2 linked regions of the Caenorhabditis elegans genome follow. The protein of the gene in region 1 purifies or fractionates together with the protein of each later gene. This does not show direct contact. Each region holds a gene or a part of one and is shown on either strand. Other genes may lie near its edges.

Region 1 (3,938 bases):
CAAATGGGAAAATTCGTAGTTCTATGAGCTCAAATATATGACCTATTGCATAGATTCAAATTTTTGCTGCTATAGACAAATTTCAGACATTTTCCTCATCTTGTACTTCATTATTATATTTATACCTATTTGTACCTACATATTAGGCCTCCCGGCAATTTACCATCTGGCAATTTTCCATTGACATGTCACCTTGAAATTATATTTGTCGTAACTGAAGACAGTATACATATATTTTTCAAATTCTTAATGTGCCTGAACTGTGTAGTATTTCAAAACCTTATCATGTGAAAATTTCATTAATTTCATTGTAATCCGGAAGTTTGTTTTCAAGGCGTTGATACACATGACGTCAAGTACAGTTTTTAAAATCAAATGTTCATTACCGGTTCATGAAACTGACTAATACATAGAAACTCAATAGAAAAAAAATTATCGAAACTAATATCGCACTTCTGCTCTCCCCATTTTTTCATCTTTGAGCACGTCAGGAGTCACGCTGTAAACAAGAATTGTGGAATTAATACTTCAACGACATTTTGATATCAAAAGCAAATTTCGTGAAACGGTAGAAGAAAATAGGTTTATCATTGGACGGATGGTAGAAAATTGTTTAAACATCGAAAAATGGAAAATCGGAAACATTCGAGAAGCAATAAAATATTGGAGGCACAGTTCAATCAAATTCAGGCATAAAATATAAAAATAAACCCACTGTTAAATTCGAAAATAAACCCACTGTTAAAAAGTTAAATTCAAATAAATAAGCTAATATTTCATAAAACATCTATAAAAAAGATATGATGCGGAGTTTGTCTGCTGTCAATTTTGACAGCTTCTCCTATGGCTGTTATTTAGGACATACTAGGTCGTCCTCTTAAATTTTGTGTGCTTAGCGTCCTCTTAACAGGAAACTTCAGGCTCAAATCCGTATCTAGATAATATTGGCCCAAATAATCGATTTTTGTTAATAAAATTAATGTATCAAAATCGAGAACGATGTGGACGTCCTATTTATGAACCCTAGCTTGTCCCATTTCAGATTGACTTCTGAAAACTGTGGCAATTCGTGTTTTTGATACTTTGGGCGCATAACACTTTTTTTCTACATAGAATCCTCAACATAAAATTTTGTGACGTAAAAGTTTGAAATCCACGTATTGCCACGGCTTCTGTGTCATGAGGTATGTAGAAGGAAATATACTAGCCTGCAGTAAGATTTCAGGTTTTCTGGAAGTATATAGAACGGTTCAAAAAGTATTGAAAACCCCACATATAATTATGAAAATTGCACATAAAAATGTTGCTGGTTTTCCAAAAATCTTTTCCAAAATTAAAAAAGAATTACAGAAATGAGTAGATGGTCAACCTGTCAGGAAGACCCCTTCGCTTCGGAAATCTTTAATTCTTCTTCATTATGAAATTCAATTAAGCCAGAAAGTATGCGTGACACTTGTTGGATTGTGAAAGCAAAAAAAATACCACCGGTTTCAGATATTGTAAACCAGGTTTTAAAAAGCGGGCAGTTTTAAAATTTAACTATGAAAATGATACTTTCTGAAGTTGTAAAAAAAGAATATCACAACTTCTGTTTGAAAATGAAAATTTGGAAAAGCCTATTGGGAAATACTAATGTTGAAAACTACAATTTTGTTTAATTCGCAAAATTTCAGAGCATTCCATTCTTTAAGGTTTTCGAATTTTCTGGAGCAGTCAGTCACGTTGATTTTTTCAGGATAAATGCACGAAGAGACGCACCAAATTATTGCCACATTGAACTTAAAATTTATTTTTGGCGAGTACAGAGGAAACAAAGTAGTCCTCATAGTTCAAACCTTCTTGCTACTTTTACACCTAACCTAAAAATTGAGTACTTCTAATCTGGTTCCAAATGATAACTTTCGTTGAACCACACAACTTCCAAACTCTTATCAAAGTTGCACGAGATCATTGTGCTCAAATGATGGTGCTGCGTCACATGACTACCTCCTAATTAGGCATTGTCTATCGAAATTTGCGCTGCCAGGTACCGCAAATTTTTTCAATTTTAATCCCGGACGCCAATGATAAGAGATAACGAGCACTCCCGAACTGATAACGAGTCAACTATAAAAGACCATCGCAATGAAGTAACTTCAGCATTTGCTCTATCTTGCTATTTGCTCTTTTACAAAAATGGTAAGTGGTTGTTTTAGCGTGAAGTTTAATAATTGTAATTGTCTTGAAGAAATACCTCATTCTTGCTGCCTTGGTGGCTGTTACCGCCGGACTCGTTATTCCACTTGTTCCAAAAACCCAAGAAGCTATCACCGAGTATGTGAACTCAAAGCAATCTCTCTGGAAGGCTGAGATTCCAAAGGACATCACCATTGAACAGGTCAAGAAGCGTCTCATGAGAACCGAATTCGTTGCCCCACACACTCCAGATGTTGAGGTTGTGAAGCATGATATCAACGAGGATACCATTCCAGCAACATTCGATGCCCGTACCCAATGGCCAAACTGTATGTCAATCAACAACATCCGTGACCAATCTGACTGTGGATCCTGCTGGGCGTTCGCTGCCGCCGAGGCTGCTTCTGATCGTTTCTGCATCGCCTCCAACGGAGCCGTCAACACCCTTCTCTCAGCTGAAGATGTTCTTTCTTGCTGCTCCAACTGCGGATACGGATGCGAGGGAGGATACCCAATCAACGCCTGGAAGTACCTTGTCAAGAGCGGATTCTGCACCGGAGGATCTTACGAGGCTCAGTTCGGATGCAAGCCATACTCCCTTGCCCCATGCGGAGAGACCGTCGGAAACGTTACCTGGCCATCTTGCCCAGATGATGGATACGATACCCCAGCTTGTGTTAACAAGTGCACCAACAAGAACTACAACGTTGCCTACACCGCTGACAAGCACTTCGGAAGCACCGCTTACGCCGTCGGAAAGAAGGTCTCCCAGATCCAAGCTGAAATCATTGCCCACGGACCAGTCGAGGCCGCATTCACTGTCTACGAGGACTTCTACCAATACAAGACCGGAGTCTACGTTCACACCACTGGACAAGAACTCGGAGGACATGCCATCAGAATTCTTGGATGGGGAACTGACAACGGAACTCCATACTGGCTTGTTGCCAACTCATGGAACGTCAACTGGGGAGAGAACGGATATTTCCGTATCATCCGTGGAACCAACGAGTGCGGAATTGAGCACGCCGTTGTCGGAGGAGTCCCAAAAGTCTAAATAATCTATTTGATTGAAGTATTTGTTTTCATACGTGTATATAGATATGAATAATAATAAATGATTATGCATCGAGAGTCAAATGTTGATTGATATATTTGAATCGTGGACTGATAGGATCATGAAGCACATATTTGTGAGGAGAAAGTTTAAACTTCGCATTTTGCTTCAATGATCAGTTTCATTAAAGTTTTTCGAAGCAAAATGAGAATGCGATAAAGTTAGAGATAATTTGGAAAGTAGTTAGCAACTTAAAGAAGGTATAGTATAGTGAATACTGAAGCATGGAGTGGTATCCAGAGAAAACCATAAAAATCTTTTTACAAATTCCATCCCTTTCAGTTTCAGAAATGTCTGAAAATTATTAAAGTTTACAACTGATCACTTAGAATTCTTAAAAACACAATTTGATGTACCCGTCTCCGGGTAATATCATTTCATTGCAAAAAATGAAAGCCCCCAATTTTTGGTCTCATAACAATCCCTCACTTTAAACATTCCTTCCCTGATTTTACATTCAAAATCTGGCAAATATGGGATACTGTAGATGAATATAATTAGTTTGACATACGCTAATCAGGTTTTGACATACATACAGTAACCCTTAATCGAAGCGGTTTCTTGGATATTTTCTCGCAAGAATCATGTTGCGCGAAAAACAACGTTTGCGAAGTTTAATATCTGATAACAGTTTTATAGATGAATT
Region 2 (4,005 bases), on another chromosome or scaffold:
TGGAGAATATCGAAAAATCGAGTAAACGAATTTTCATTTTAAGTGAAGATTTTGTGTGAAAGAGATGTGTGGAACGAGATCCTTTACAACGGCTGCTCGCTGAGCCGTCCGCACAAACTTTTGCTTTTTACACAGCTCAACTGGGTTGGCGGTTTGAGGGAAGCTGCCAACAAGACCCGCCGGGGAAATCATTGTTGACGATATTTTAGAGCATGATGAACTTGATGAGATAAACTGATGTGGTGGGGTTGATTGATGTCGTCTCAATAATGTTTTTAAGATAAAAATAATGAATATATACATTAAAAACGATACTTGAAAGAAAACGTGATATGAATGTCTTTATTTGGAATTTTGGTTTCAGGAGAGTCTCTCTTTCAGAAATTCAGAAAAGGGGTGAACAATTTTTAATCTAAAAGGTAAAAAGTTGTTAAAGAAAGAGTAAATATTAAGAAAATTGTAAATTTTTCAAAGTTAGACTTTTTAAAATCATTAAAAAAAACTAGAGCTAGGTAAAACTTCAATTTTGTTTAATTAGCCTTGACACAGCGGCTGGGAAATAATTTATCATTCTACAAAAAGTTTTTTCATTTTCGTCATTTATACACTTTTTTTTGTTGAAAAAACTAGAATTCAGAGTTTGTCAAAGGTTGGGTATTGGCCGTTGTGAAAATGAAATTTAAATTGTGGTTTAAAGGTTTAAGACTATAGTGAAACTTTTCAAACGACTTTTTAAATTTTTTGTGCAGTCGAAAATTCAAGAAAACTTAGTTTTCACCTATCATAATTCTGGAAGTGGCTGGAAAACAATATAATTTCCAAAATTTCAACTTAAAAGTATATATATCTAAAAGTTTTTGAAGTATGTATATTTATATTATGATTATTGGTCATGCACGACTAATATAAGTGTTTTTAAGCCAACAAAAAATATTGTTAAAAAACTTTCGGCCAATTTATAGTAACACATGTTTTACTACTTAAAACTTCAATACTTGGTTCAATGAAACAAATTTATAAAAATTACTTCAGGTTCTAAAATTATTAGTAATTGTATACACACCTGCTCCACCACTGCAACAGTTCTCAATTTATTTCATCTAGTCCAATGTCCAAATTCTGATTTCGTATTCCCTATCTACTTCGTAACGAAAATTGTGAGACAATTTGACGATAATGATAATGATTTCATATTTTGTGAAAATAAGCCGATTAAATTTTTAACGTGTGGAACTTTCTAGAACTAATTTTAAAGTGTAGTCATATTTTAATAGGGGAGAACAAATCTGAATTGTAGGCCATTGAAATTGTTATTTTGATCAGAATGACGATGAGGGTGTGACGACGACAAAGCAGTGTTGACTTGTTGCTGAAAGTACATATGATTTTGCTGGAAAAAGTTTAATGTGTTCTTTTGGCAAACAGAACGCTATAAAATCCGGATCCTTGTCAGCAAGTCATTTTGTCAACCCGGACACTTTTTAATGGTTTTCCCTCATTTTACACACAAAGTACACTACTTTAATAGCCGATCTAAACTTTTGACTCGGTGAGAGGAAATAATTCCGTTTTCAGCCAGCCAACCTCCTCTACTAATTATCACTAAAATCGGTTGTGACGTTTACAATTATATCATCAAGAGTTTGTGTCGCATATAAAAGAAACCCGGAGCGCTGCTTCTCAATTAGTGATAACGCACCATGTCGGGCCGCGTTTTCCTTCTTCTGGCTCTTGTCGCCTTGGCTTCTGCCATCCAGAGGTTAGTTACATTTTTAATATACCATTCATATATTTAAATTATTTTATTTTATTTATTTATCATGTTTCTTCTTTTTTTAGAATCAAGCTCGAGAAGCGCACTTACACTCGTGAACAATACAAGTTCGGATCAATCCAAGAGCATCTTAAGGCCAAGTACGTCCCAGGATACATTCCAAACAAGGATGCATTCAACGAGGGTCTTTCTGATTACTCCAATGCTCAATACTATGGACCAGTGACCATTGGAACTCCACCACAAAACTTCCAAGTTTTGTTCGATACTGGATCCTCCAACTTGTGGGTGCCATGCGCCAACTGCCCATTCGGAGATATTGCCTGCAGAATGCACAACAGAGTTAGTTTTGAAGTATTCAAATCAACTTTTTTTCAATAAAATAATTTTCAGTTTGATTGCAAGAAGTCTTCTTCCTGCACTGCTACTGGAGCCTCTTTCGAGATCCAATACGGAACTGGATCCATGAAGGGAACCGTTGACAACGATGTTGTCTGCGTAAGTCAATCTTATGATGTTATTTACAATATAGCTGAAAAATATATTTATAGTTCGGACATGATACCACCTACTGTACTGATAAGAACCAAGGATTGGCCTGTGCTACTTCTGAGCCAGGAATCACCTTCGTCGCTGCCAAGTTTGACGGTATCTTCGGAATGGGATGGGACACTATCTCTGTTAACAAGATCTCTCAGCCAATGGACCAAATCTTCGCCAACTCCGCCATCTGCAAGAATCAACTATTCGCTTTCTGGCTTAGCCGTGACGCCAACGACATCACCAACGGAGGAGAAATTACCCTTTGCGACACCGATCCGAACCACTACGTCGGAAACATCGCTTGGGAGCCACTCGTCTCTGAGGACTACTGGAGAATCAAGCTCGCTTCGGTTGTCATCGATGGAACCACCTACACCAGCGGACCAATCGACTCGATTGTTGACACTGGAACTTCCCTTCTCACTGGACCAACTGATGTCATCAAGAAGATCCAACACAAGATCGGAGGAATCCCACTCTTCAATGGAGAGTACGAAGTTGAGTGCAGCAAGATTCCATCTCTTCCAAACATCACCTTCAACCTCGGAGGACAAAACTTCGATCTTCAAGGAAAGGACTACATCCTTCAAATGTCCAACGGAAACGGAGGATCCACCTGCCTCTCTGGATTCATGGGAATGGATATTCCAGCCCCAGCCGGACCACTCTGGATTCTCGGAGACGTCTTCATCGGACGCTTCTACTCGGTCTTCGATCATGGAAACAAGAGAGTTGGATTTGCCACCTCTAGAACCGGAAAATAAGCCTATTTCTAATTTAAAAACTCAATTTCTATGCCATTACTTGCTTGATTGTAATAAATGTGGTTATGTGATGATAAGAAGTTCTAAAACAGTTCTTTCTATACGTTTGCAAGAATTCTAAAAACCCTGACTGGCTTCTTGATAACAAAGTTTACATTGGGTGGGAGGAAAACACAATTTTATGAGTTTTATTTTATGCTGTACTCAAAGAAAACAAAAAATCCAAAGCTTTCGCGAAACATGTGGTTCTCACTTTTTCATGACGCAAGAAATTTTCGTACTTTTCTCACTTGTTCCAGCATGATTCAAATGCTTTGATACACTCCATTTCCACATGTTTTAAATCTCACTAGTGAACACTTTCCGTAGAATCCTCCAAGAGAATAGTGGCACATTTGTGCTACAAACAATCTGTTAGAAATTTGTTTATATTTTTGACATTCTTCCTTCTATTCCTTCTATTCCTGCTAGCCGATCCTCCTCCCCTCAACTTAGAAGAGACATTTGAGATGTTCGATTAGATTTTATTGAAATATACACTTGTGCACGCAAAAACCGCGCGATTATTGTGCAATACCATGTCGTGTTTGTAAAGGAAGACCGCACACAATGCATGTTTCCGGTGACTCGGAAAATATACGTGAATTTATGCTTTGCGTAAATAGAAGTTACGAAACTTCTTTCTTCCGTTTTTTCTCTACTTGAAAGTCTGAATTTTTGTTTTAGACTAAATTCAAAATTTGTTTTGAGAAATTTTTTTTAATTGAGGGAACTTTCCCTGGATATTTTTCTAACGCTATGCAAAGCATTGCAATGTGCTAATTTTTAAAGTACAACTATTCTAAAAACTTTAAAATGTTTTATTTACTGTCAAAAACTTATTATAATATTGTCAGTCGACAAGCTACAAGAAATTGTAGTTTA

What was found.
Region 2: the proteins of cpr-4 (region 1) and asp-3 fractionate together in Caenorhabditis elegans (co-fractionation; one large-scale study listed by BioGRID). This does not show direct contact.

Annotation. Positions count from the first base shown.
Region 1 is NC_003283.11:6,612,537-6,616,474, forward strand, and holds cpr-4 (Cathepsin B-like cysteine proteinase 4), read left to right. Parts: upstream 1-2,137; 5' UTR 2,138-2,175; coding exon 2,176-2,178; intron 2,179-2,227; coding exon 2,228-3,232; 3' UTR 3,233-3,315; downstream 3,316-3,938. UniProt on the Caenorhabditis elegans protein: Thiol protease which shows activity against the fluorogenic substrate z-Arg-Arg-AMC.
Region 2 is NC_003284.9:6,789,491-6,793,495, forward strand, and holds asp-3 (Aspartic protease 3), read left to right. Parts: upstream 1-1,573; 5' UTR 1,574-1,700; coding exon 1,701-1,759; intron 1,760-1,839; coding exon 1,840-2,116; intron 2,117-2,167; coding exon 2,168-2,272; intron 2,273-2,325; coding exon 2,326-3,081; 3' UTR 3,082-3,219; downstream 3,220-4,005. Other genes in the region: sgca-1 (Dystroglycan-type cadherin-like domain-containing protein), read right to left, coding at 1-37. UniProt on the Caenorhabditis elegans protein: Aspartic protease. Part of the necrosis cell death pathway. Involved in neuronal cell degeneration. Involved in heat stress response.